4 linked regions of the Schizosaccharomyces pombe genome follow. Changing the gene in region 2 together with the main gene of any one other region gives a genetic interaction. Each region holds a gene or a part of one and is shown on either strand. Other genes may lie near its edges. The genes, in order: SPOM_SPAC1705.02, ssp2, fnp1 and zip1.

What was found.
Region 1: mutations in ssp2 (region 2) and SPOM_SPAC1705.02 together harm fitness less than expected from each alone (positive genetic interaction), as found in Schizosaccharomyces pombe (one large-scale study listed by BioGRID).
Region 3: mutations in ssp2 (region 2) and fnp1 together harm fitness less than expected from each alone (positive genetic interaction), as found in Schizosaccharomyces pombe (one large-scale study listed by BioGRID).
Region 4: mutations in ssp2 (region 2) and zip1 together harm fitness less than expected from each alone (positive genetic interaction), as found in Schizosaccharomyces pombe (one large-scale study listed by BioGRID).

What each region holds. Positions count from the first base shown.
Region 1 is NC_003424.3:1,565,075-1,571,117, forward strand, and holds SPOM_SPAC1705.02 (uncharacterized protein), read left to right. Parts: upstream 1-3,740; 5' UTR 3,741-3,788; coding exon 3,789-3,795; intron 3,796-3,989; coding exon 3,990-4,086; intron 4,087-4,141; coding exon 4,142-4,229; 3' UTR 4,230-4,375; downstream 4,376-6,043. Other genes in the region: Tf2-2 (retrotransposable element/transposon Tf2-type), read right to left, coding at 1-3,143; extracellular leucine-rich repeat domain, receptor L domain-like Ecm33, read right to left, coding at 4,921-6,043.
Region 2 is NC_003421.2:1,926,603-1,934,859, reverse strand, and holds ssp2 (serine/threonine protein kinase AMPK catalytic (alpha) subunit Ssp2), read left to right. Parts: upstream 1-2,885; 5' UTR 2,886-3,002; coding exon 3,003-3,150; intron 3,151-3,202; coding exon 3,203-3,435; intron 3,436-3,643; coding exon 3,644-3,995; intron 3,996-4,045; coding exon 4,046-5,043; 3' UTR 5,044-5,670; downstream 5,671-8,257. Other genes in the region: ppn1 (cleavage and polyadenylation specificity factor complex-associated protein), read left to right, coding at 6,653-6,821, 6,980-7,060, 7,181-7,391, 7,443-8,257. UniProt on the Schizosaccharomyces pombe protein: Serine/threonine protein kinase essential for release from glucose repression via the phosphorylation of scr1 upon glucose deprivation.
Region 3 is NC_003424.3:4,640,262-4,648,941, forward strand, and holds fnp1 (folliculin complex subunit fnp1), read left to right. Parts: upstream 1-2,045; 5' UTR 2,046-2,233; coding exon 2,234-4,762; 3' UTR 4,763-4,916; downstream 4,917-8,680. Other genes in the region: cornichon family protein Erv14, read left to right, coding at 1-104, 186-216; GTPase dml1, read right to left, coding at 481-1,878; SPOM_SPAC30C2.08 (uncharacterized protein), read left to right, coding at 5,299-5,461, 5,593-6,328, 6,385-6,481, 6,533-6,910.
Region 4 is NC_003424.3:4,296,137-4,303,442, reverse strand, and holds zip1 (DNA-binding transcription factor Zip1), read right to left. Parts: upstream 3,629-7,306; 5' UTR 3,485-3,628; exon of another isoform or gene 3,422-3,484; 5' UTR 3,378-3,421; coding exon 2,385-3,377; 3' UTR 2,042-2,384; downstream 1-2,041. Other genes in the region: meiotic recombination protein Rec10, read left to right, coding at 1-2,041; cruciform cutting endonuclease Cce1, read left to right, coding at 5,538-6,314; SPOM_SPAC25G10.01 (mRNA splicing or mRNA surveillance facor), read right to left, coding at 7,174-7,306.

The sequences.
Region 1 (6,043 bases), on a different chromosome or scaffold from region 2:
ATGATTTCTTTTGGATTGCCGAAATAAGCAATAACTCGTTGATCAAACATTCGAGCTGTTTGCTCTGCTGTAATGGATTTCGTACAAGGTACTAAGATTGCCATTTTTGAAAATCGGTCAACTACCACGAAAAGTGCATTATAACCAGATGATTCTGGTAAAGCTGTAATAAAATCCATTGATAAAGATTCCCAAGGTCTTTCTGATGGGGGAATTGGTTGTAAAGGTCCATAAGGTTTATGATTCCTAGATTTGTTTATTTGACATGTATGGCAGTTCTGTACATATTCTTGTATTTGTTTTCTTATTCCTTTCCACGTAAATCTACGTAATATAATGTTTGTAAGAAGTTCAATGCCTGGATGAATCAATTTACCTTCTTCATGATACTTTTTAATAATTGTCCTAGTCAGCTGAGTATCATTAGGTAATAAGATTTGGTCTTTACTGTTAATTAGTAAGCCATCTTTGAGTTGGATATTCTCTTCCACTCGTTTGTCTTCATTGTTTAGTAAATTCAACAATTTTGTATCATTCGTATATTCTGTAACCACTTGGTTTTTAAAATCATCGGTTATCGAGATTTGATTAACAAAGTTGATACTATTGTCTTCTGAATCTTTTGGAATTGGTTCTGTTTCGTCAACAATTCTGGATAAGGCATCAGCTATGTGATTTGCTGATCCAGGTCTGTAGTTAATTTCAAAGTTGAAGTCTTGTAAAAATAATTGCCAACGAGCTAAACGTTTGTTTTCAGGCTCGGATTCGTTAGTAATGCGACCAATTAAGTTTCGATGGTCTGTTAAAATTTTGAAAGGTTCGATAGTGGATTCTAAATAGTGTCTCCAATGTTTGAGAGACTTAATGATTGCAAGCATTTCTTTGTCCGATACGCTATAATTTAATTGTGCTTTAGACATCTTTGCTGAATAGTATCCAACAGGATAGTATTTATCATCATCATGTTTTTGAGACAATACGGCTCCTACAGCGACATCTGAAGCATCAGTTTCCAGTAGAATCTTTTTACTGAAATCAAAGTGTCGTAGCACCGGAGGAGAAACTAAACATTGTTTAATGTTTTCTATCGCTTGGGTTTGTGTTGGTGTCCATTTCCAGCGTACATCCTTTTTCAAAAGATTATTGAGTGGATGTGTTAATTGTGATGTCTTTGGAATGAATTTCCTAAGATAATTGACAGAACCTAGAAATTGTCGTAATTCTTTACGATTCTTAGGTTGCTTCCATTGTAAGACTTTGTCTATATTTTCTTGACAAGGCGTAAATCCTTTTTCCGAAATGTGATACCCTATAAATTTTACTTGTGATTGGTGAAATTCACATTTTGCTTGATTGATAATTAAGTTCGCATTTTTCAATTTCTGTAGAACGTCTTTAACATGTTTTACATGTTCAGATTCCGATTTTGAATGAATTAAAATATCATCCATATAACATACTACATGTGATTCTTTGGCTTCACCAAGTATTGTATTGATAAAGTATTGAAAATGTGCTGGAGCTGTAGATATGCCATAAGGCATTACTAGATATTCAAAAACTCCACGAGGACAGCGAAAAGCAAGTTTATGTTCATCTCCTTTTCTTACTCGTATCAAGTGATAGGCACTTTTGAGGTCAAGTTTAGTAAAAATTGTAGAACCTTGTATTTTAGCAAGTAATTGTTCAATAAGTGGTAACGGATATATATTGGGTTTGACATACTTATTTAAAGGTTTGTAGTCAACCACCATTCTCAAGGTGCCTTCCTTTTTCGGAACGAACATTACTGGACAGGCGTTAATGGCTTTAGATTCTCGTATAATTCCACTTTTTAATCCTTGATTAATTTCATCATTCATAGCTTGCATTTTTCCCGGTGGTAGCGGGTAATTTCTGATAGGTAATCTGTAGTTTTCTTGAGTTAGTTCAACTTCAAATTCTAACCCTTTTATTGGCTTTGGTAGCTTTTCCGTATTGGTTTCTGCAGTAATGTCTTTGAATTCTTTATAGATATCTGGTAACTCAGGTTCCTTGACAATATTTGAAACTTTGTTCATTTGAGAGAGCGTGTGTTTACTGCTAGATATTTCAATGTTATTGTCATATAATGTTGTGAAGGAGATAGCAGCTGGATGCGAAAATTTCTTTACAACCAAGAATTCTGTTTTGATTGATATTCCATTTAGACTTATGTTAAGTTTTATTGTTTTGCGATTAATCTTATTTGGATAAACTCCACCATATATCACACTTTTTGACCAGGGTCTGGTAGGCAGTTTATGTGCTCGAACAGTTTCTTCTGTTATAATATTTGCTTGAGCGCCCGTATCGATTAGACAGGGTATTGAGCACTTGAAGTCTGGAAGTTCAGCTTGTAATACCATTTCGTAACGTTTCCTAGTATGATTTAGGAATTTGTTAGATGAGTATTCTATTCTCGAAACATTTGTCTTCCTCAGGTTTCTGCTATTAGTGGTGTTATTTTTCTTTGAAAGGGACTCTTTTCCTAGATTTTTATTTTGCAGTTGAAAACGCTTGTGAGTTTTACCATACGAGGCTGTTCTTTTGTCCTCTAAAAAGTCATAAATTTCACTGATTTCTGATTTCCAGTAATTTCTTTCCTTTAATTTCCTTAAGGAATATGGCAGCATCCATAATATAAACAAGCGAGTATGGAAATCATCAACATTTGCTTTTGACATGAGTTTCCTTATAAATTGAACTTTGTCCAATTGATTTCTAAAACCTTCAAATGTTTTAGTTAAACGATCACCTTTGTTGGATCCTTGTACTTTCCCTGTTTGTCTGAGTAATTCTTGCCATGTAAGACTTCCATTCTCAGAAAACATGCGTTCAGCGAATTGTTGCTCTAATTCTTCTAGGTGATTCAATGTATACTGTCTTTTAGTATGCTCATTTGGGAATAATGAAGGGTATTCAGTAAAGTGTTGATCAAGTTTTGAAATGTAACTTTCAACATCCTTATTAGGATCGAATTTCCCTATCTCTGGTACATGCTTCGATAATATTTTTGCAAAAAGGTTTATTAAATGTTCGTCTGATGTTTGAATTCCATCCAAATTCTCTGGTCTCCATCGTTTTGCTCTTGCTTTCATATAACGATAATTTGCGTAGGACATTGTATATGTTTCCCTTTGGGAGATTTCAAAAGGGATAACAGTCCTTCCAAAGTTCTTTCTCCTTTGAACCCAGAAGGAGAGAAATATATATATTTATGATATATATTTATTCAATAATTCCTTTTTCCTAAAAGGAGTTAATTGTAGATCACAAGAGTTCAGTTATTGTAAGCTACGCAGTTTGGTATCTGATTTAAGGATACGTAGAACTGCGGTGAGTTTTCCTTGTGATCTATTATATTACAATACACAGGTTGTATAAGTAGCAACTGAGTATAGGTATTGTATTAACTGGGTTATAATGTTACCTATCACTAATATAGCTCATAACTGAACTGAGGAACGAGGTTCAGCAGTAGCTCTATTTATAGTATTCAGATAATATTGATCTTAATAGATTATCATTAAGATCAATCTCCATATCGTATCATACATGGTACGATATATAATTAGAACATGTGACATATAGTGATACTCAACGTAGTGTATTATAGCGTAGTGTAGTATTGCTGACAAATATTTCACATTAACGATATATGCTATATTTCGTTAAGCTATGGTCACCACCATAAATTGCCCGTTTTTCTTTTTTACCTCATAAGAAGTGTGAGTTGCAGTTTGATTGATGATACAATTTTTGCTAAGATGTCTCGTAAGTTTTAAACCTTTGAGAATGAAGAAGAAATTCTAAAAATTATTATCCCCCTCTCAGCAGGGAATAGCTGCGTTGAACTATCTCTTTTATACTTGCTTATTGATTTTTAGTATTCTTTTAGCCTTTTTCACATTCTGATATTCATTAAAATTAAAACTATATCTATAATTTGTAATTACTAATGTTACTAGGTGGAAATCAGCGTGATGTTGACCGTGCTCGCAATTTAAAGAAGTCTCAAGCTTCTAAAAAGAAACAAGCCGGAGATCCTACCAAACGTCTTGAAGCGTAAGTGGAATGGAATCAGGATTTTGTTTAAAAACCAATTAGCTAATATTTTAAGTCAAGCTGAAATTATGCGTGCTAAACAACGTGCAGCTGATGAGCGCAAGGCAGCGGAAGCCAACGGTGGCTCAAAAGGAAAAAAATAACTATATTCGAAATTTTGTTAAAGGGCAGTTTATTCCATCCTTTTAAGTGGTGTTTTTCCACAGTACATTGGCTCTTTATTCTGTTATTTTTCTTCAATTTTACCTCTATTTTGATAAAAACAATAAAATCTATATTTCTAAGTAAAGAGTAAATAAACTCGGTAGTCTTGCAATCTATAATAACATCCCATTAAGTTACTTAATCATTTACTCGTAATTTCTTAACTCTCGGTTATGCATATCATACGCCTTATGTCTCATCTTTGCCAATCAAATTATTTTATTACTAACTACCGCGCGCCTTGTATTAAAAATTAAAAAAATCAAATTCAAGATATACTAAATGCAAATATTCGATAGACTAATTATAAAAAAGGCAAAATCAATAACTTTGAAAATAGCCTAAGAGCAACTCATATAAATAATTTAAAGCTCAAATTAAAGAAAAGGAACATCAAACCTTCTCAACACTTTTCTAAGATCATATAGAAGTTAATCTCTTCTAAAGATATATGTTTAATCACACCCGATTATAAAGAAGAAAATAAAACGGCCTGTATTAATAAACATTTCAGTAACCCACATCACCAGAGATAAGCCAGCTCATCTCGCCAAATAAGTATCGGTAACATTCAAATATTAATTTTCTATACTTTCGATAAAAAAAGTAACAAATTGTTCATGACGACACTTACATAGCAAGAGCAGCAACCAAAAGAGATCCCAAAACTAAAGCACCAGCAGTGAAGCCGTTAGAAGCGGCTGAGCTTTCATGGGAGGAAGAGGAAGAGGAAGATGCAGAAGAATCAGAAGAGTATGAAGTGGTGGTAGCAGAACCAGTGGCAGATGTGGCAGATCCACTAGTAGCAGAGACAGTGGAAGACAAATCATAAGAACTAGTAGCAGAAATGGTAGCAACACTACCTTGGCAAGTGAAATCATCACCCTTAATAACACTGTCATCATTGGACCAAGGGCAAGTGAAATTGGTAGCCTTAGTCTCGACAGTGAGAGCACCCTTCACATCACTCAAATCAGGCATATCAATGCTTGAGAAGTTACCGAGAAGAACTAAACCACCACCAATTTCAGAGATGACGGGGAAACCATCAATAGAAGTCAAACCAGTATCGTTAATAACGAAACCACCACCAACAGTGGTAAGGTTAGGGAAGTTGAGGGAAGTAAGCTCAGGAGAGTACAAAACAGCAAAACTTTGTCCGATTTCGGTAAGGTAAGGAACCGAAATGTTATCCAGAGTAGTGTTAGAGAAATACAAGTTACCAGCAGCACTCTTCAAGTTACCAATAAAGACGTTGCTGATACCATCAAAAGTAGCAGTGGTAACGTTAGAAAGTTTACTGAAGTTTACGCTTACACCCTTAGAGTTAGCGGAAATCTGGATATTTTGAGCACTTTCGAGGCCCTCCATGGTGATCTCCTGAATATAACGATTGTTGGTTACTTGGAAAGTAGTGACGGAATCCAAACTGATACCGTCAATAGCTTGAAGTTGAGTGTCATCAATTACGACACTATCAGAATCGGAAAGACCAGCGTTAAATTGAAGCTCCTGTAAGTTTGGTAAAACAGCAAGATTTAGGCTTCCAACCGAAGTGAGCTCAGGGGTAGCAAGGTTGTTCATGCGGATCATGTTGTTAACGTTAAAAGCACCAGAAACGTTTTTCAAAGAAGGGAAGGAAAGAGAGGTCAAATATTGACCATCAGAAACCACAACATCACCTTGAACGGACTCAATTCCATTAACAGTAAGGGTGGTGATGCCAGAGTTACCAGCATCAGAAATGTACAAA
Region 2 (8,257 bases):
TCATCAGAACTGTTTTTTTTTAATTGATTTTGCAAAATAAACTATCTGTAAGAAATGTAGAAATGAAAAGAATAATGAAACCGAAAAAAAAGCATACATATGACTACAGCTATCCAAAACAAAATCAAATAAAAAACAACTAATAACGAATAAAAAGAAAAGTAAATCGTTTCAACTTAAATAAAACAAGAAGAAGTAAATTGACAAAGTTTCATATAGAATGAGCCAAACATCATTTCTATTCGCAATACAATCCTCTTTCCTCTAATATCAACCTTCTTTTCATTTCTCTATAATATAACCGTCTTGTCGAGTTCTTTCTCGGTAAATACCTTAGATAGCGGATGTGGGTAGATTGGATTTGAAATCATTGCATGGCGGCAATCTTTGATTGTTTAATTTTGCGCCTTTTTTTCTAATCCCCGATAGAGTTAACATATGATGAAGGACGTCGATACAAAAACCTGGAGAAACGAGATGCGTAAACAAGTCGGGAAATCAACAATCATATCAGAAAAGTTGAAAGTCAGAATACCAAAAAAATTAGGGAAACCTAGCATGACATTGTAATTTGTTGTATGCTATTGTCATATTAAATTGTTTGGATAGTAAGTAAAATATTGTTCATCTTCATCTTCATCTTCACTTTTTTTTTTAAATTCTTGTCAACTGCGTTTTTGCCTCCCAAGTTTTATTTACTTACCTCTTCTTTCTTCAATTAGCTGGCGATTCTCGAGGCTTAAAATCGACGACTGAACCCAGCTCTCTGCCTTAGCATTTTACATTGACATCCTTTACGCAATTAATTAATTATCAGAATATATTCATCTTCCAATGTGCTTTAGTTTTTCGGAAAAATTCATATGTCAATCCTAAAGTCGTTCTTTTTTATTTTAGAGGACCTTTATAAATCTCAAACGCTTCCCAATACTACACACTTTTCTTGTTCTTCTGAATTTCCTCGATTTTTAATATTTTTCTCTTTGAACAAGCAACATGAAAGAGTATCTCCCTAATCCATACCTCAAACTTGGCATTTTGAAATGAACAAAGGATTAGATAGAGTTATACTATACTGAAATAGAGGACGTTTGCAATGTAGAGATCTGCGATGTTTACACGAGGATAGTTATACAATGACTGTGAATGTGTGCGACAAGCAAATCATTGTACTGCAGAAACAAGAATTTGTGTCAAAATTTTTAACTCGTTCATGAATTAAATTCAAAAAGAAAGTAGACTTACTGTTTGCCAAGCAATATGAGGCAAAACTCTTATCCCGTTTGCTGACAACAATACGATAAACATGTTAATTCGCGAGTTGGCAAGGCATTGATATGTCTACATCATTAATGATTTTAGGAAAACATATAATGTCTTTTTGCTTTAATTTCAAATTAAACGAAATTAATGTTTTTATTTACTAAAACGCGAGTTAACAAGAAAGTCATTGCAAATTAGTGTCAGCAATACTACCCTGCGTTAAAATACATTACGTTGTGTATCAGCATGTTTCCTTATGTTAATATAGTTTTAAGACCCGTTTAAATACTGATAATCGCGGATAACTGTTCATCTAGAATGTTTGTGGTTTAATAAATTAGGATGAAATATAAATAGAGCCAAATTGAACTCAGGAACGACATTCACTTATAAGCTAGTTTAGTGATGGGTAACGATTTAACCCATATATCAATACATAAAATTAATTGCTACTCATGATATCTGTATACTATAATTAATAAACCACAACGAAATTTACCGTACTACTACACGTAGCGCAAAGTTTTAATTGCGTAGTTTGACCTAAAGCTAAAAATTTGCGAACTAACTTATGGTGGCATATTCTATTATATAAAAAAGTATCACTTTAAATGTGTTTGCTTAACACCTATAGATCGTGATGCCAGACAGCATGTGAATGAAGAAACCTCTATTCATCGTGTGAAATGAATTTTGTAAATAAAGTCCAATCACATGCTAACTTTACTATTTGAATTACAAAGATGCTTTTTACACGAAACTTGTTTACGAGGATGTCCAAATAAAAAAGCATTCCTGTGATTGTGATTTACCCCAAACAAGCTATAAAATTCGTTCAGGGTAAATTGCGCTGTATTTTTATTGCATTCTTATATTATCATACAAGTTGTTGACTTCGAAAACACTTCCCTGCTTTCTAAAAAAATTTTTATTTGGATTTTGATTGATAGCTTTTCTTAGAATATTAAATTTTTTCGTCAAAGCAAAGACTTTCATGCAAGAAACAGTGATAATTAGTCTGTGTGCCTTGTAAACAAATGAAATCAGTTCAGGCTCGTTATATTCATGATCACTGTTTAAATGTTGCTGAGAAATCACATCCAATATGAAGACTCTTTTCTAATAAAAAGCTTGTTCATTTCCTTTTTTTTGTATTAACTCAACCAGTACTTAATTGTTTACAAACTCAACGAAGATTTGACAAGAGCGTTATAATGCGATACACAACGCTGCACTTAACAACCATCTTATGAAGACTGTGGGGTACGCCGTGTGTTCCATTATATCTGGGATGGGTTCTTTACAAACATAATAAACTGCTTAATCATACTTGGATCATGTTATTACTTATACAGCCAAGATTGAAATGCGAACACTGTAACATGTATAAGTATTTTATTGGAACAGTTAACTGGGTTAGTTAAATAAGAGTTTGCAGTTTGCATTAAAATGAATAGTGTAGTAGAATTTTAATTCATTGAGTAAAATTCCGCATTGTGACGCAACTTCGTTAACTAGTAAAACGGTGGCTTAAAAAACTGTATAGTGTTATTTTAAACGAATTAACGAGTCCAATTCATATCATCTCATGTGACACAACTAAGGATGTATACTATGGCTTTGCCTTCTACCAAATTATATATTTATCTCACACTCTGAAATTTAAGCCTTGCTATTAAGGAAAAAAAGATTTTATCAATAAACTTTCAATATTGGATTTGCCAAGCGAATAGCTGATAATGCAACCGCAGGAGGTTGATTTAATGGAGAACTCAACCATGCGAAATGGAGCAAGAGTTTTACCACCAGAAGCCATATCCAAGCGCCATATCGGCCCTTATATTATAAGGGAAACCCTTGGTGAAGGTTCTTTTGGCAAAGTCAAGCGTAAGATTGCTAATATTTAATATCATGAGAATAGAGACTAACGTACTTGTAGTCGCTACTCATTACAAAACGCAACAGAAAGTTGCTCTCAAGTTTATCTCCCGTCAATTGCTAAAGAAAAGCGATATGCATATGCGTGTGGAGCGTGAAATTTCATACTTGAAGCTTTTGCGACATCCTCATATTATTAAATTGTATGATGTGATAACCACGCCCACAGATATCGTTATGGTAATTGAATATGCAGGTGGTGAATTGTTTGATTATATTGTAGAAAAGAAAAGGGTAAGTGGTGCGGTTTGCGAGTTTTTGTTACAGTAAATTTCAGAAGTGATGTTGGATTGGTTTGATTTGTCAAAATGTACAAGTTATCCGATTGTCTTTTTTAAAAATAGAAAAAGATAAATTGTTTTTGCATCTGAAATGTTGCTGATGAAGGCTTGTTTACAAATTTGAATGCACGAATTTATGTATTTGCTGACTGTTTTTAAAGATGACTGAAGATGAGGGTCGTCGTTTTTTTCAACAAATTATATGTGCAATTGAGTACTGTCACCGTCACAAAATTGTACATCGCGATCTTAAACCCGAAAATTTGTTGTTGGATGACAATCTCAACGTAAAGATTGCTGATTTCGGTTTATCAAATATTATGACAGACGGTAATTTCCTAAAAACGTCCTGTGGCAGTCCAAATTATGCAGCCCCGGAAGTTATCAACGGGAAATTGTATGCTGGTCCAGAAGTCGATGTTTGGAGTTGCGGCATTGTTCTCTATGTGATGTTGGTGGGTCGTCTTCCTTTCGACGATGAATTTATCCCCAATTTGTTTAAAAAAGTTAACAGTATGTTTGGCCACTTTTTTTTCTACTTATCTCTTGCTAAACGTATTTAGGTTGTGTTTATGTTATGCCTGATTTTCTTTCTCCCGGAGCACAATCTTTAATTCGCCGAATGATTGTTGCAGATCCAATGCAGAGGATAACAATTCAGGAAATACGTCGGGACCCTTGGTTCAACGTTAATTTACCCGATTATTTACGTCCTATGGAGGAGGTCCAAGGCTCTTATGCTGATTCACGAATTGTCAGCAAGCTTGGTGAGGCAATGGGGTTCTCGGAGGATTACATTGTCGAAGCTTTACGTTCAGATGAAAATAATGAAGTAAAAGAGGCTTATAACTTGCTACATGAAAATCAAGTAATCCAAGAAAAGAGTCATCTCTCCAAATCAAAACGAGTCGATTCTTTTCTATCTGTATCTCCACCCGCATTTTCAGAATATACTTCTGAATTGCAAAAGAAGTCAAAACAGGAGCTTATCGATCCTACTTTAGAAGGACCGCGTTGGACAGTCTCCGACCCTCCAACATATGCTAAACAAACAATTGACAGTAACATATGTGTCCTTGTGCCTACGGCAGAAAAAAATAAACTTGAAATGAGGACTCTTGCCGATGCTGCTAGTGCTGTGGATACGAGCCAATCCACTCGCAAAAAGAGTCGCCGTAACAAATGGCATTTTGGTGTTCGCTGCCGGGGCGATGCACCTGAAATTTTGTTGGCTGTGTATCGAGCTTTACAACGTGCAGGAGCTCAGTTTACCGTTCCAAAACCAGTAAATGGAAAATATCGATCAGACATGTATACCATTAAAAGTCGTTGGGAAATTCCTCATTGTAAAAGGGAAGGAAAAAATACTTATGCTTATATTGAGTTACAACTTTATGAAGTTATGCCCGGGTGTTTTATGCTAGATGTGAAATCTAATGGTTACAAAGATATTTATTCTCATCCTGAACGAACAGCTGATCATGGCATGGATGATCTTAAGTCATCTTTCCCATTTTTAGATTTGTGTGCTATGCTGGTGTGCAAGTTATTTTCTGCATGATTTATTGTAACTCCCCATTTAACACGCTGTTTTCAAGCATCCCTTAATTACCCATTGTTGAACAAATCTACTCAATAGCAAAGACACATTTTATTTTTTTTACCTTTTCTTTTAGCGAATAAGGTTGCATGAAGATACTAGTGTCCGGATTAATTACCGCCATTTTCTGTTGAAACATTTATGAATTGATGAATTTAGTGCCATTGTATTATCAACGGTTTACAGAAGATTTTGGTTTCACTCGTTAAGTATTTATCTTGTTATAACCATAATACATTTGTTGATATGAAATAATCGAATGACTGAATGTTAGGAGTTTATTGAGTCCTTTTACTTTTCATGCGGGTTTTCTCTGATAACTGAAATTTCCCATTTATCTATATGCATGACGATGTTGATTATATATGCTCACCTTTCTTTTAATAATAAAGAAAACCGTTAAGAAAAAAAAAATTTATACGTTTATGTTAATGTAAACGAGAATCAAATCAAAGACTAGTTAATATGCAATTTTTTTTTGCAATTTAAGAACGACTTGCAGCTGCGACATCGAGGAACTAGTCCATAAAGAGTATTATTTTCCTTTATCTTTACTTTAATTCAAATACAAACCAATTCTATTTAAAATACTATGCTAGCTTGTTTGTAATTAGTTGAACTTTATGAAGAAAGCAATTCCCCCCCCCCCCTTTTTTTTTTAAAAAAAAAATTGTTAAAACATCTGTACATCAAATTTTGCAAATTTCTTTTCATAAAGAATGTCAATAGAAATGTCAACTTTAGTGTGATAAAGAAAAAAGCTAATAAAGAAAGTTATAGACACAAAATGTGAATTATGAAACGAGAACAAATGATTGGTATTCTTAATTTTTGTATGTCTCAATATTTAAATTATTTGAAAATCCTACTATATATTCCTCAAAATTTGTAGAAGGTATTTTCATTCATTTTGTCTAAAGGATTCATACATTCCACAGTTAGTATATAGATTAATTTGTTCCATTCTGCAAAAAATAAATAAAAATACTCCGTTCATAGAACTGGTGCACAGCTTACTCTCAAAAAAAAAAAACAATGTATAAATTATGTTTACTATCTAATAACAGACGTTAATATGAAGACCGGTTAATGTATGAGGAAAAAGAGATGGGTTCAAAATCACAAGAGAATGAAGAAAAAAATAAGAGTATAATATCCTTTTATTCTTAATTTTTTCTAACGGAATTCGTGAAAAGATTGATCCGATCTAAAAACGGTGAATCATTTTGTTTACAGCTGGAAAGCCATTTGGCATACCAAGTCCCACACGCCAAAAATGCTTCTTAAGTCTTCTATTATTGTCAATATAATTAAAAAATTAAAAATCTACTAAAATTATATTTTTTTATTTAGTTTTAACTATTAATATACACGATGGTGTAGCGAAGGGTTTAGAGAACTCCAACGAATTTCACAAAGTTGCATGTTCAGTTTCCTTACTTGAATAGTAGTCGACGTTGATCCTTTCTCAGCGTATATCCTCAGGAAACGATTAAATCGGCACAGTGCGAATTTCTGAAAGGTTCAATTTATTCGGAGTATTACTTTGAACCTCTTTGATATTTAATTAATGGATAATTGGAATTCCGTGCGAAATGTGTCGAGTGATAGACAAACAAGTAAAACGTCAGAAAATCCTCCACATACTTCCAATGAGTATAGTGGAAAACCGGAATTTATTAATCTGAGTCCTGATTTAGAAGAAAACTTAGATGAAAAGTTAATGAGTGCTTTCCCTGGTATGCAGGCTATTAAAGCGGGGATAGAGAGTTGGTCAATAATTTGAAATATTTGCCTCTACGGGCTGTAGCGAGTGATGTCTTGATTGCTTGTTCTCTCTTTTTTCTCTGCTATTTTTGATCCTTTCTCTTAGAATTCTACTAATTGTTGCCCTTAGGCTTAGAACCTCATGTGTTTCAACACTCCCAGTCACCTCTGTCACATAAAGATGCTTCATTGTTAGCTACAATGCCTTCAGGTATATTTTCTTTTGTTTATTCATTCTTTTTATTTTTATCTCTACTATACTGAGTTTTCCTATGTTCTCAATTTTTCTTTTTCTTTTTTGATTCGTTCAATTTGCTAATATTTATCTTAGTTGCCTCATCCAATCCATCACTCATATCTTCTGGATCTTCGCAAACTGGCTCCCCATCACAATCCTTGTCCTCTAATAAGGAACCAAGTTCTCCTGGCATTTCTCCTTCCAATGACTCTCAATCACAAAATACTAATCATACCTCTATCTCAGCCAATCCATATGTTAATAATCCAAGTCATACTTCAAGGAATCCGGATTCAGGATCTTCGTAAGTTTATTTTGCCTTAAAAATTTATTTATGACTAACGAAGCGCCTTAGTTTAAATACCGCCTCCCATGAAGTACCATCATCAAAATCAGACGTGAACGTTCAAATGCTTGCACGATTAAAATCTAAATCTCGTCAAAAAATTTCTTCCTCTGATCCGTTAGAAGATTTGCGCCTTACTCTGACTGAGTGTTTAAACCCAATTAACATCGTCCAAGCTCCAAAAGAATGTGCTGCAATCCTTGTTAATCTCATGAGCAATATCACCCAAGATGATCAAAAATTAGTTTTTCTAGATCTTCTTAAAAGCAAAGTGGGGAATAGTATTTATAGCCAACTTGTTGACGGCGGTCGTAAATTGTTCCTTCCTAAACTACGTAACTGGTTTGTATCAGCTATTCGTTCTAAACACGACGAACTCATTCATTTAATACTGCTCGTGCTAGCTAATCTTCCTCTTACGACTGAGAAGCTAGCTGAGGTTAAGTTTGGCAAACCAATTTTAATCGTAAAAAAAAAGTCTACCAATTCCGTTATACGCCAGCTTGCTGAAAATCTTTCTGAACTGGCCGAGAAAAGTTTTACTATTGAACAAAATAGAGAAAATGAGAAGAGCTCTACGAAGAACGATTCGACTGTTTCATCTTCCGCAGTCGTTATGGCCCCGGCTGGTCCGGCGATGGCCCCGTCTGCGTCTAATAAACCAAGCGCTTCCTCAACTACTAAATCAAGCAATTCGAAATCTAAAAAAAAGGTAACCAGCATATCGGGAACATCCTTCTTTAAAAATTTAGCAAGCTCTACAAAACCAACTTCGGCCTCCTCTTCAACAAAAGCGCCTTTGACAAAACAGCAAACCAACCCTT
Region 3 (8,680 bases), on a different chromosome or scaffold from region 2:
ATCCTTGACGCTACAGAAATTTTTCGCCAATTGGGTCGCCATAAACGTGACAACTTTATTAAAGTTACCTTTTATCTTATAATGTTTTTTACTTTACTTTACTGGTAAGTTTTCGCTATTCTTTGGAGCAAATGCTCTTGTTGTTTTAGCGGCACTATTTTTTATAATGTACTAACGGATAATAGTATGGTCATGTCCTTAATTCAAGAAGAATAATGTTAAAAATCTTGGAGAGGAAATTCTAAAGCCAATGCAAAAAAAAAGGATACTGTTTTCTTTCTTAATAGTTACATGATTGAATGACATTAATTATTAGACATTAGGTAATGAACTTTCGACTACTTCGTTGCAAACAGCTGATAATGAGGGAAAAGCTCATTTAGTCAAGCTTATTAGAAATTTTCTCAAGTAATCATTGGACTGTAAAAGTATTTGGAAATTTCATACTTTGAACTATTCGCCCAACGTATTCCTTGATTTCTAAATAATATATGAAGATAATATTTCTCTTATTTCTTCAAGTTCATCTTGATCAACAAATGAAACAAAGCGACGATTCAAAGATTTTGTAAGACCTTGAATGTGTGAATTAATTTGACCGTCATTCGTAGCTTCCACAAAAACAGTATCCAATGTGCGCAACCCTTCTGGAACTGTCTCTAAGCTCGGCAATCCTAAATTTTGTATGTTTACTATTTTCGATATGCTACTTGCGTTATAATTTTTTCCTTCTAGTAATCCTTGATTATCTTTGGGGCTGCGTACGACTCCAAATAAACAATTGTTTTGCTGACTGTAATCTTGAGCAACATTAACAAAGGAGGCACTACTCACTAGTGCCCATTCTTTAGACGAGTAATTTTTTGCTTTAAAGTTCAAATTATGGATAAAACCTCTTCCTTCTGATTGTAGCTTTGATTCGATATCTTTCATTCTGTAGCAGGAAGACCCGTAAACCCTTGTGGGCAATGTAAAGGACTCAATAGCCAAATTAATTTTTGCGGAGGAAGCCCAAAGGTCATCACCTTGTGATATTGTACACAAAGGGAAGTACTGAGAACAAGATCCGTTGAGCTGAGATAACGAAAGTGCTTCATTTAGTTTTCCGAAATGATTATCAATAGTTGCGGATGAATCTGACTGAATCGGCTCTCGAATCCCATAGACCCAAGTGGGAACACGACATTCTCCTAGCTCATCTTGAACTACTTTCATGTATTCGCTCGCAAATCCACCCCACGGAGTGTCTATGTCTATTGCTGCTTGAAACCCTTGGACGCTATCACATTCTTCAACAAGCGGCCTCAATCCTTCATCCCATACATTGAATTGCTTATCAAAATCATGAAACCTTTCTACACCGAGTTGAAATGAAAAGTCCGATGAATTCAGTTCCGAACAGTTTACTGGAAATAAATACTCAGTATCTAAAAATAACCGATTGAAATCTGACCAATATTTAACGCTTTTTGGACGAATAGAAGGAAGTTCATATTCTGATTCTATTGCGTTTCCCTCATGGATCTCATCTCGACTCCAAAGTGCTTCTTGGTACGGATGCACATCGACTGGAGTCTGCATAATCTGCGTGAGTTTACCATCCCATGCTGTACCTTTTCCTCCTGATGACTCATTTAACTCCTCTAACCAGTTTTTTCTAGTATTTCCAAACTCAATTGGAGTATCATATATGCACTCACGAGGAACCGTAACAATAGCTTCTGGATCACGCTTTTTCAGTACACGGAAATTGGTGTTTACATTAACCTTTGCATGATCGTTCGGATCGTATACAAAATAAGACTCTTGAGTGTTCCAAAAATGCGTCCAACAGAAGTTGCTCTTTCTTCCAAATGTAACTGTTAATATTTCATGCATCGAATATGCAAATGCCTAATAGATTGTTAAATGTATTTTGTAAAAAATGTATATACATGTATTTTCTAAATATCTAAACAATACTTGAGATAGATTTCGTAACCATAACCCTAGTTATTAGAAAATTGGTGTGAGTTAGTTATACCGTTACTAGCTTCTGTCTACCTAACCAACGCCAGTGAGAAACTGCTGCTGGGGAATGTCAAACTAACGTAAGAGTGAAGTTTCAGTACATGCTACTGTTATTTCTAAGCATCCTTTTTTAATTTTGCAATTCAAAGCTTTGTTTTCTGTGTAGAAGCATAGCATAAAGACTGAACCTGTAGAAATTAGTTACCGCGTAATGCGTTCTTAGATGCTTCATTTTTTATTTCATTCAGGATCTTCATCAAATAGAAACTCATCGCCGAAAGAATCCTATGAGCTTCTTCATGGTTTGGACAAACAATATCAAAGTACTAAGGATGTAACGTTTCGTCTTGTCCTCGTTCAAGACATCGGAGACCGAAAAAAAACTGTTTTGTTTGACTCTAATCATGTGGATGGTCAGAAAGGAGATAGTGTGCTTAGGGACTCGGCAAATGCTCCACTTACTGATCTGATGTTTGGAGCAATTCCTATCTCCCATAAAGGAACTACCACAAAGTTGCATATTCTTCATCCCCCTAATCCTGCCACAAGGTCTTATATGCTTACTCAATTATTTCAAATCAACACACATGGTACAGTAGTCAATTCTAGTCACGAAACGATTGCATCTGCTACTTCATTATTTGAAAATAGTAGTTCGAACTTTTCTGAAGACCCTAATAAACCCAACTCAAGCGATGCCTTTGAATCGAATAAAGAAGACAGTCCATTATTAAAGTCTTTTAATGATAGCGCTATCCCTGAGAATGCAGCAAATTTATCTTCTTCTTCTAAAAACATGAAAGATTCTACTTTAAGCAGTCAAAAAGCTCGTTCGAATACAAGTTCTTCCTTTTTAACACCTTTGCATGAGCAACTGGAAAGTCGCTGTGCCTTACATACAGCTGCTAAGGATCCTTTTCGATCTAAAAATTCGCTCCGGTGTAACAGGGGGCATTCCCCTCTTTCCTCCCAACAAATTTTGCCTGCAATTTCAAACAATACCTCAGAAAAGCCTGATTCCAATAATTGTGGTTTTCTTCTTCCTTCAAACTCAACATCAATAAAGGATTTAAAAAACGTAAAGAAAGGAAACAGGTTAAATAGTCCTCCGTTTATTACTATTCCTCAATCCATCAAAAACACGAATTCTAATTTTCTGCTTTCTTCACCTTCACTTTTTAGCGATACTCGCACTCGTCCAGCTTCGTATGCTTTAGCTCTTATCATTACTGTACCTTATGAATATGACGAAATTGTTCATCCTGTCAGTACTTATTATACTATGCTATCAAATTTTACGCTTTCTTTGCAGAAAGAAATAGATGAACGAATTCGCAATCTTTTGTTTGTTTCACTTAGCAGTGGGGGGGATAACAAAAATGATACAGGAATTCCATTAATTCAGTCTTCATCCTCAAAAGTAGGTTTCGGACCATATGCTCTTAGCAAAGATTTGATTACAGCTAAGAGTTTCCACAAATGCATATTGTTACTGAAAACTGGGTTTTCGGCACCATTGATTAAGCCTTCAGTATTTAGTGGCAGCAAATGGGTGGAAAACATGCGATTGTTAACCGACTTGTGTAAATCTCCAGCCCAGAAGTGCTTGTTTAGCAATTTACTAACAGCTACTCGAAAATTCTGTTTGGAACGCCAAAAAGATGATGTTACTTTTAAAGTGTTATTACAGTCTAGCAAAGCACCAATAGCTCGACGTTTTTTATATCTACTAGCTCCATTAATGCGACCGTCAATTGCGCAATGTTCCGATACGCTTCTTAATCCTATTCAATTATATCCCAACTCTGGAATACTCTCATCATCTAGTCTTTCTACTTCATTTGGTTGTCCTTCTGTCTCTGGCTCTTTACGAGTACCTTCCTATGATATGAAGATAAATGATTCTTGCAAAGCTATAGATATTCATTCAGAGAAACCATCGTTTGCTGATTCTCCTAGGAAAACGTCATTACGAAATTATTTGAGTAGCAGCTGGCGATTAAAATTTATGCGTAGTAGTTACCAAAATAATGAGACGGATCCGCTTAATCCAACTTCTGGTTCTTTTTTAAGACAACCAATGCAGTATAGTTCACCCTCGGGTGTTTCGGAAAGTGCAGCGAGTAGTTTTTTGGATATAGAAAATATCGATGAATATTTGGAAAGCGCTGAGAATATGAAATATTTACCAAGGTCAACTGTAGGACCAGGAGGTATGCTCCATGTGGATCTTTTGGAAACGAATGCTAAACAGGAATCTGAGGCAACTACTTCCACCGTTCCTCCGTCTCCTTCGCAGGTGGGATTTTTGAAAGCCTTACATCCTTCTTTTGACTTGCAAGCTGCCCCCCCGAATTCATATGTATCGTTTTCTGATGATGATTTTATTTCCGCGACATTGTTATATATGCTAGAAGACGTTTCACGCAACAAATCCCAATTGCTTGCTGAGAAAAAGCATTTAAAGTCGCAGCTCATGGTTGCTAATCTTGATACGTATTCTCTCGATTGTTACGAAATACACGAGTTTCCTAGCGAGTGGGAAAATGATTATGCGCCTTTCTTGCTTAAAGAACATCACAAAGTCATTGGCGAAACTTACGTATCATCTTTTGACATTCAACAAGGCTGCTTCAATGTTATTAAAAGGCGTTTATCATCATATAAATGGGACAAATCTGATGACTCCTTCGTAAGCGAAGTTTTGAAAGGCGATTTGAAAGAAGTTTTGAGGGTGTGTTCTCATTGCTAACTTAGTATATGTAAACAAGAATTTTACACTATTCAATATATAAGTTGTCAGTAGAAATGAAATAATCCTAGAATTTTATAAATTTTGATTTGACAAATTTCATTTTTTTTCCTGCATTTAGTGGTTCCGGTTGAACATTGCTCAGTAATAAATTATGTGATCAAAAAGTGATTGTTATAAATTATGTTTAAATATAGCATTTATTTACTAAAAGGTTGAAAAATTATCTGTTAGTTATTTACCGTTGGGCAGAAAACTCTAAAACACATGGCATGCATCCTTCATTCAAAAGAAAGAAATGAACGTTAACAAACTAAATTTTATGGTTGTTTTTTGAAATTATTCAAAATTTTCTACGTTAATGACACCAGCTTTTCTATTTCGAGGTTTCTCGTTAACCATTTAAGTATTTCCATGTTTATCATACCGTGCAGTTATCCTTTTCCAACCACCCACCAACAAATATTGTATTTGAATATTGTCTGTATCATTCGTTTAAGTGTTTTCAATATTAGTTCAAAAGAAATACAGACTTAATGATGTCTTATGAGCCAGCTGAGCCTGTCCCCGTGGAAGAACAGCCAATCTTGGAGAAATTGATAGGCATCCGTCAACGCCTAGCTGTTTTGAAACGAGATCGTACGAGATTCATTGAGAAAAATGAGGTTTTTCATCTGAAAGATGAATTAGTGGAACAGAGTATGTAATTCGCTAATATTTGTGTCAAATTATGGATGCATATGGATGAATGAATGGTCATCTGTGGGATAAATATTTGGCTCAAAATTTTGAAATTTAAACAAATTTTTGCTAACTAAGTTTCATTATAGTGAATTTATTGGACTCTAGACGATCGACGAATAGCACTCGAACTATTGTTGATTCACAGTTAGAAGATTGTTTGCACCTATTATCTTTATTTTATCTAGCGATTGGACGTAACAACGACTTGCCTGCTTTTTTCGTACAATTGGGAACTGTTAGAAGGCTTTTAGAGTATAATTTAGAAGGTGCCTGCTATACGCAGAATGACCTTAAGCCTCTCAAAGAAAGGTTGGAACGAATTAGGGCTGCAATCGTTGAGGGATCTAAAAAAGAGGATGCTTCTCCAGTTGTTGTAAAATACCTGAATAACAAACTTGCTGTTTGTGATAGAAATTATAGTGAAGCCCAACATAACATTTCAAAGATTTCACCAGAGCTTATAGGTATTCAAACTCGTTTGGTTTCTATTCATCGTCAAATTGATGGTTTTGCCGTTCGTCCTACATCTGACCCTGGATTTATTGACCGGACAATGGAACAATTGAAGGAAATTGAAGAAATGAAGGATTCTAATGGGATGTTTTGTGACGCTGACCATGTTCCCTTACAAGGTCAAGAGCTGTGTAACGGTATACTTGAAGAATGCTTTAGTTTTCTTGAGGATGCCAAAACTAAGGAAGGTTTGTCTGATGAAATGAAATCAAGTCCTAAGTTACAACAAATTTACCACCGTCTCGACGAGTTGCTTAACAAACTAAAACATCTTACACTTACTCATCGCTGGACTTTACGTGAGACTGAGTACGTTTTTCTTTAGTTTTTTTTTATCGAAGAAACCTTTTGCTAACGGATTTTAGTCTTTACGTTTATCGTGCTTCTCTAGCGGAAATTGACTCAATGCGTATTGATGGTCAATTTTTGGACGAACAAGGCAATGCGCCTGCTGGCCAAAGGGTAAGGAGTTATGCAGAAGTTATATGAAATCTCAGCTAATTGATATGTTAGATTCTTTTATATTTACTACGCCGTTGTTATGCTTACATATACCAATTACTTTCTAGCAGTGAACCAGTGTCAGAAGAGCTTATGGCCGTACATAATCAACTTCGAACTGTTAAACGCTGCTTACTTGAAGTTCAGAGAAGCGGAGGTATTTGCTCGGAAAGAGATTTGTATCCCTACCAAATGAAGTTGGCCTCATTAGAGAATCTTAGGGTGAACGGAAAGTTTTTGGCTTCCGACCATTCCGTACCCGAAGGACAAGAGCTTGTGAACTCGCTTTTGACTCAGTGTCATCAATTAATCGAGGAACTTCGCGATGAAAAGCATCAACATGATATAGAGGAACGAGAAGGATCTGAGAACACGGATGGAAACTTATAAACGACTTTTCTTTCAGACACAACTGTATTGAGTTAATGCCTATAAAAGTCATAACCTTCCGTTAACTTTTATGAAGTATTAATAAATGTGCTGGGAGTGTTTCTGTGCGCATTATAACCTTCGGTTAAACTTAAATGAGTCAGATTTGAAAATTTCATTTATAAAATTTCATCTCTTTTTTTTTTCACCACCACACCTTAAATACTAGTCAGCTTCTTAAAACTATGACAGCGATTTTTTATGAATTTTCGAAGCCTCTTATTTGAATACCGGTTTGGTGCTTTGAATTGCAAGCAATGGCTGTTTGATTTTTTTCAAAAAGGGTTGAGGCTATTGGAACTGTGATTTGTCCGAGAATTCAAGCACTGTTGTCATTGTCGGTGAATTTTGAAGCGATACGCGATATTTATTTTTTTTCATTATTATACAATAAAAGGCTTAAGATACAAACTAATTTATGTGAAGACATAAAGAATAAAAGTATTATGAATCATTTTGAAAACTGGTTTGTTTTAAACACTCGCTGCGTATACTTGAACAATACGTGACAATAAGTAGTAATTTTCATAATACGACAAACCGTATTGAGACATGGAAGACATGGAAGTTCTCATTTAGTAAGTTGTATAAATCTCATTAAGATGTTTTACAGTAATTCTGCTTTGCATTTCATTCCCTTAGCATCAGGCAGAAAACGTTTGAGGTAATCTTCCTCTGAACATTTTTCGACCAACAAATAAGCAAAGGAATTGGTCCATAGTAATTTAAGCAAGCAAAAGTGAGTATTGAAAACGAGTCACTTTGCAGATGTAAAAATAAATTCAACTAATCCATGCGCGAAGCCAAACGCAATTAAGAAGCCTAGGAATTATAAAAAAGGGATACCATCATTCTGCAATTGAGACAAATAAAAATTCATTATTTAATTATCAAGATTCGTGATTAATATGTATGTGTGTGTGTGTGTGTGTGTGTTTTTTTTTTTTTTGGGGGGGGGGGATATACACTGGCTTTACATTCAGTAAAGGCTCAATTAATTCATAATCACAACAAGTTTGAGAAATTGAAAAGAGCTACCGCAAATAAGACATGTATAACAGCAAGCTGGATTAGAATTCTAATTAGTCGAACCATTGAAATTCTTTTGATTACTGAGGTTTTGAAACCATACATTTCTCTTAAACACCAAACATATGCAACCTTAGTGTCGCACTGCTTATACTAATTTTTAAGATTCTCAGTACGATTAGGTTCAGCGCTATATATTCTTATCAAGGTATCCTAAACGATTAAAAAGCATCACCATTGTAAATGATTAAAAGGAAATAAGGATCAATTATTGTAAGTAGCGGGTCTGTTTTCCTCGATTAGTCTGTGAAGACATTCGCTACAGAAAAAGAATGCACGTTAACAAAAGCACATGAGTTAAGTTCCTGTTATACAAATTTGAGAATATTGAAGCCAACTAGACTTTCCGCTACTGGATTTGCAACTTCAACTTTGCCGATTGTGAAAAAATAGTGACGAGCAGCGGACATCTAAAGCGTCGCCTGTCCCGCAATGCGTAGATGAAATCCAGTAGATGCGAGTAAAATAGAAAAGATGGTGACATCGTTACTTCAAGATACTGTGAAATAGCGTAAGGGTGTTGAAGGAAGACTTCATTCGGTTGCTTCGCCATACTAGGTAATACGTCGGAGTGCCTTGATGAAAGTGCAACTTTAATTGGTGAAAAGTGCCAAAGATGGGAATTGCGAACTCACCATTTAC
Region 4 (7,306 bases), on a different chromosome or scaffold from region 2:
TAAAGGAATACAAGAATTGCAAGAAATTGAACTGCCGAAAGTCGGTTTTAATTGCATGACCTACGATGAATCTATTTTTCAGGGGATTTCCTTAGAGAGATTGATTCTCCAATTGATGTCAATTTTCATTGCAAAATGTGAAGAAAATAAGTTATGGCTTGTTAATAACAGAAAAGATTTAGATCTTCGAGTAATTGGTCAACGCTTGCTTCACAGGGATTTCGCATGTCGCTTCTTAAGCGGTCTATTTATTTCTCGCTTCTCTGTTTCTGGAGATACTGATGAGAGTAAACATCAAAATGGCATTCGCCTTCAACTATTTATTGATTTTTCTAAATTTGAAACTCGTTTGACTATGCAAATTTTGAAGGCGGACCGCATTTTTTCCACCTGTGTTGCCAATACTGTCCATGCTTATGAAGGTTTATTTTCGTCGGGCTCAAATATTGATTCAACAATAGCTACTCTGGTTTTAGAGCCCCGAGATTTAATCGTTTATAGAAAAGGATTTGCTCTGTTACAAATTCCTTGGACATCTGTCACGACTATCGATAAGATTAAAAAAGTCAAATCTCTAAAAATTATTACTGAAGTATCTTCCCTAGATGAATTTGTTTTCCAATGTAAGGATGGCGATAAATTTGACGAGCTTTTTTCGACTTCTGAAGAAATCATGAACAAACTGTTACCAGCTATAATTGTTTCTCCTAAATTGACATTAAGGAACCGTTCAATAATTCAAATAAAAGAAGGAGAATCAAAGCTTCCTAACACTTCCAAGCAAGCATCCCAGAATTTACCGCATTTAGATGATGAACTGGCGTACCAAAGATTTGAGGATCAGGTCATTGACAAGAGTGTGTGCGACGATGAGTGCACTAACACTGAAAATACTCCAAGTTCAAACATTCCTGCAGATGTGAAAGATTCTTTATCAGCCGATGACTATGCTTATGATACAAAACGCAAGACGCAAATTGAGGATCTCGAAGAAGACCAGAATAAGAGTAAGATAGCTAGCAAAGACGGAACCAATCTAAAAGAAATCAATTCTGTTCCTGAATTTTCTGATGAGAATGTAATCAATCAAACGGGGCCCGCCAAAAAGACACCGGTTCAAAGAAGAAAAGATGGAAAGTTTGCAAAATCGACAAAAAGAAAAAAACAAAAATCTTTAAAACCTGATACTGAAAATCAAGAATCTTCGGTGAAAAATAAAAAGGCGAAATCCAATGTTAATTTGCAATACAGTCCGAAAACCCCCATTTGCAAAATTAACGACGAAACCTTGAAGCCTCCTACGATAGCAAACATTGCAGGTCACAAACAAATGAACCATTTAACTTCGGAGAATATTGAGACTCCAGTTCCTGTACCGAATGGAAATTGGTATAATGGTGTAAAGCATGAAACAGCTACAGATATCTTTACTACTTGCCATGATGGAAATAATAGTCTTAAAAGCTCCGTATGGAAAGAACTTCTTAAAGAGAAACATTGGAAACAGGAATCTAAGCCTCAACTTACTGGAAATAGTCGTCAAATTGATCTCTCTACCTTTGTTAAACAAGCAAATACTCCAAATATTACCAGTCTACTAGATGGTACCTGCTCAAGCCCGCCTAATAATGAATGTTTTAATGACAAGGAGCCAGACTCAAGTAGCAGTACGCTGATATCAGATCGCCAGGAACTTGAGTACAGGAATCCCAATGCGGAAACTGTCAAGCTCGAGGAAATACCCTACAACAAATTTTTTAAGACAGTTGAGAAGAACGAAGCATACAATCCATCTAGCAAATCTGCTACTATTGATGGTTTACAACGTTATACTTCTATGATAGGAAATCAAATATACGAGGGCATTTTACAGAACGAGAAGGAATTGAGGTCAAAGCTTGAGGCTTACCACATAAATTGTAACAAAGTGATTAAGGAATTTTCGAAAAGACAAACTGCTAGATATAAGATCATCGAAAAGGAATTGGCGCAAATTGAAGTTAATCTGGTCAGCCAAATTGACAGTTTGATGTTTAAGTAGCTTGAACCTATAGTATCAAATTTATTGATATTGGCTTATATTGACATATTACTTTAAAACAATTCACATTGGAAGCGTTATATTTTATTTACGTAAAGCAAGAAACACGAGAAAAATAGGTATATTATCAAATTCATTACCTAGTAAACGTAAAACTGATGAACTTGAACGTAGCAGTTGGATGCATACGCAGAAAAAAAGAAAATTAAAAGATTTGCTCCAAAAGAAAACATAAGTTTACCTGTAAAGAAAACCTTTATATGTTAAATAAATGATTATCGAAGAAATAAACATATCAATGCAGAAGACAGGGGTATAAAATAACAGGGAAAGAAAACCACTTTTAAAAGTTAGAAGTAGGACGTATAAGTCCCTTCAACCAGTTATTCTCCATCTCCAGTTCACGAACACGAGTTTCTAAAATGGCGACTTTCTCAGTCAACTCTTTAGCAGTGCGTTCCAACTGTTGTTCTTTAAGCTTCTTCTTGATGCGAAAACGAGCGCTAGCAGCGGTATTTCGACGACGTTTATCTTCCTCAGCAGCAGTACGGATGGCAGAAGTAGCTTTGGTGCGTTTACTGTTAGCATTGGGAGACTGAGCACCCTTATAAGAAGAAAGACTAGGGGAAGATACAGATGCTAAATCAGGACTGGCAAAAGTGGAAAGGGGATTGGTAAATGCGTTTTGATCAGCAAATGAAGAAACGGGAGCTTGTAAAGGGGTATTGTTAATAGAGCTGCTAGCTTCAGAAGTCGGGATAGCAGTCTGTCCAACCAAAACTTGATGTTGTCTTGCAGATTGATCAGGTAGTAACTTGGAGGAAGCTGAACCTTGGAGAATTGAGGAAGAAGAAACATTATCCTTGGAGGCTGAAGCAACAGAAGACTTTTGCTCAAAGAGCTCTCGTTGAGACGAAGTTTTTTCTTGAGTTTCCTTTGAATGATCAGGTAGGGTTAGGAGTTTCTGCAAGTCGAGATAAGCAAGATCAATTGAAGCAGGATTAGCAGAAGAAAAATTTCCAGTTGCATTCAAAGGGGCAGAAAAGGTATTGCTAACTTCTTCCTCTTTAACTTGCTGCAAAGTCGAAATTTTTTCGGGATTCTGTTGCTGCACGTTCTTTTCCTGCTTATTGGAATTGGAAGAACCTGAAGGTTGAGAAACAAATCCATAATAGCCTTCTGAAAGCATACTAGAAGGCTCTAAATCTAAAAAGTATGGATTTGTGAATACATTTAATTGCTCTGCGAGATCATCCTTTGAAAAATCGTCAGAGACAGGAACATCATCGAACTTAAGATTCAAGTGATTGATAGCGCTATTAGGAGTAAAATCCATTTGTCAAAAGCTTTATCTTGAGACTCTTGGTCTCTTAAAATTAACTGAAAATCAATTGTTAGCATGGAATTTCGCTAAAAAACTGAACTCTCCAACAATAAGCTTACCTAAGACTTAACGGCAAAATTATCGTTACTAATCAAATTATATCTCACAAAGGTAAAAAAAACACACTCAACCGTTCGCAATAAACGAGCTAAACCACCAAATTTAGTGACTCGATGAATGGCGACGCTACGTTGGTAATCGTAGAAAATTTGATGACTGAGCCAGCACGTCTGCGATCGGGATCATGCAGCGTTGAGATAATAATGAGATTACAATCTCCGCGTTAAAAATCTGATGTAGTGTAGCTGTACGTAGATCCTCATAAAACTATCCTATATTAAGATAGTGCACCGTTAATTATTATAGAAGTTGTTACCGTAGTAGTTTAAACCTGCTAGAAAAACGTTATTATATAAGTCACTAACAAATTGCTATTTAGGAAAAAAATCCTAAAGAAATCAGTCGTATGCTATTAATGAGAGTTAAAAAGCAGTCTTAAGTTCTTGCTTTTTGTGTAAATGATCGGAAGTTTTATCTTATATTGAAAATTCTAAAGCCATTAGAATATTCGCTCATTTTATATATCAATGGCCCAGTTGTAATAGTCAGTCGAATAGTTAATTGAATAAACTACTTTAGATCTACATGCGCAATAAGTTTTAAGTTTGGGGTTTTTACTGAACATTTTTCATCCCCAACAACGGTTCATATATTGAAACAATAGTGCGTCAGACAATTCGCAATTTTTTTTTTCTAAAAACAGTATATTCTCTACTTTTCAGTCAGTTAATATATTCCGGAACAAAGTCATATTCTTCTTAAAACTTATTCATACTAGTGCTGCTTGTGTAAAAAAAGAATCAAATACAAAACATGTTACTTGACAGATCCTCTATAATAGAATATGGAAACGAAATAGAAATGAGAATGATTGAAGTTCAAGCTTAAAGTCAGTAATAGATTTGCTTTTTGCATAAGAAAAAAATCAGTGGAAAACGCTTTGAAATCCTTAAAGCATTTTTTGTATTTGCGTAAGACATTGTCTGCTATATGCTTTCAGAGGAGTTTTAGAAATCCAATAGCAGAAATTCATCATTAATGTTAAAGGTAGCTGAATACAAATTAAACAGCGTTAAAATCAAAATCCGATAAACCTTCACGTTCATTCCGTGGTTACATTTGTAGTTCATTTTTGTCAACCATCGCCGTTCTATATACTTGCTAACTATAGTACAATGTGTGCCATCAAAACTTTGAAAATTTAATCCTAATAGTTTAAAACAAATGTTACAGTTTAAGTATTTCAATGTCCAAGACTTCAAATATGGAGTTTTACCTAACTTGCATAGAAACTCGGTATTATAATAAAAGACAATGACGGATTCGGGGTATTAAATGAAGACTTCAGCTGTATAAAAGCTTTTCTGTTATATATCTTAAATTTTGTGGATTCCAAATTAGCTTTCAAATACAAACTGTGCCATTTTACACAACCTCGATCATTCATAAAACAATAATAAACTTGCTCACTTACAAACAAGTCTTAAGAATTGATTTAAGTCAATGTCTGATTGCAAACATATTAACAATCTGTGATAAATTTCTTTTGCCATGTATTTCTAACTTTAGGTTGATGAGTTCAAACCTCCTATGAATCGACGTATATCGTTGTTGATATTTCACATAAACTTGGACTCGCCAATCTTTGTTCATATTTTAATGCTTATTTATTCAGATAATTCCCAGGTGACTAGCAGTTTGAACTAAGCAAGACGTTGTCAACGACTTCAAACATCGCAAGCTTATGGAATAAAAGAAAAAAAATTACATGTTTCTACTCGTAAGTGAAATAAAAATTCCCGGACTCCCATTTACCAATCCTTCGTTTTTTGTATTACCATATACTATCTTTCACGTTTGCATCTAGCATCTAAAACTGTTCACTTCTAAAAACAATTCATTTTAAGAGAAATAATCATTTTTTCTTATTTGAATAAACTCAATTCTTACTGCCTCGTTTCCTTGTTTTTGCAAAAAAAAAAAACATAATCATTGCTATAGGTTTACAACTTCATATCCGTTTCTTTATGTCAATTTATTCTTTTTTACAGAATGGCTACTGTGAAACTTAGTTTTTTACAGCACATCTGTAAGTTAACTGGATTGTCAAGAAGTGGAAGAAAGGATGAGTTGCTTCGAAGAATTGTTGACTCTCCTATTTATCCCACCTCTCGGGTACTTGGTATTGACTTGGGAATCAAAAATTTCTCTTACTGCTTTGCAAGTCAAAATGAAGATTCTAAAGTTATTATCCACAATTGGTCTGTTGAAAATCTAACTGAAAAAAATGGGCTTGATATACAATGGACCGAAGACTTCCAGCCTAGCTCCATGGCTGATCTTTCAATACAACTGTTTAATACATTACACGAAAAATTCAATCCGCATGTCATTCTTATGGAACGCCAGCGTTATCGTTCCGGTATTGCTACGATTCCAGAGTGGACGCTACGAGTAAATATGCTTGAAAGCATGCTGTATGCGTTACACTACGCAGAAAAAAGAAATTCAATCGAACAGAAAATACAATATCCTTTCCTTCTTTCTCTGTCCCCAAAATCTACATACTCGTATTGGGCATCAGTTTTGAATACGAAAGCATCTTTTTCAAAGAAGAAGAGTAGAGTACAAATGGTCAAGGAATTAATAGATGGTCAAAAAATCCTATTTGAAAATGAAGAAGCTCTGTATAAATGGAACAACGGTTCTAGGGTTGAATTTAAAAAGGACGATATGGCAGATTCTGCTTTGATTGCAAGCGGTTGGATGAGATGGCAAGCCCAACTGAAGCATTATAGAAACTTTTGCAAACAGTTTCTGAAACAATAGAAATGAACGATTGCCGTACGAATGTTTAGCCAATTTGTATATTGTAGTTTTATTCAAAGAAAAACTATCGTATATTGCATTTCATGATCCTATAAAAAAGGAAGAAATTAAACTAAATTCATAAAATTAATAATGATAACAAAAGGAATGCAGGCACATGTATCAAAGATCTTCTTTGAGCATTATTCTAAACTTCAACGATGAAAAATAACAAAACATAAAGAACATGAAATGAATTTTTTAAAAAAAATAAGAATGATGACAAACAAAAAAAGGTAATAAGGCCTTAAAAATAGCAACCCGACCTTGCTCATTTCAAAAACCCAAGTTTATATCCTCTATATTTCATGCATACAAAAGCACCAATAACAGCACCGAAAAATGAAATTTTTTATAATAAATTTGTATGAAACGGCTTTGAAGACGTAAAGAAAAAAGTAGAACTTGCAGTGAAGCCACAAAAGTCATAAGAGGACCATGATAGCGTCTGAGATCCTTTAAAAAAAACATAAAAAAACGCAACTCGTGATTGTTTAGTTCCCCAACAGAGTAAACCCTGGATAACACGCATTTACACAAGATTTAATCCCTAAAGTAAAGAAAGACGAGAAAAAATTAGTAGTATAAACACGTGGAAAACACACACACCTTTTGGAAATTGGTACATGATAGCTTTCAGGGAAAATTTAATATAATAAGCAATAGACCGTTTATACAAGGAAGAAAAGTAAACGAACCTAAGGTATAACGAATCATAAACTGTTAACTATAAAAGGTTTTCATTAAATGAAAGTAAGCAAAGGAAACTCAAAAAGAGTAGCGATATATGATAAAAAGGTTATATTAAGCAAATTGTTAATTATTGATCTTCGTTTGGAGGCACCGAAGAGTGTGAAGGTAAGGCTTCATTACCTGGGGTATCATTGCGCATGTTAGGAACAGAATGATGCTCTGCATGAGCAAAGGACCTTCCATGGAAATGTCGCTCTCTT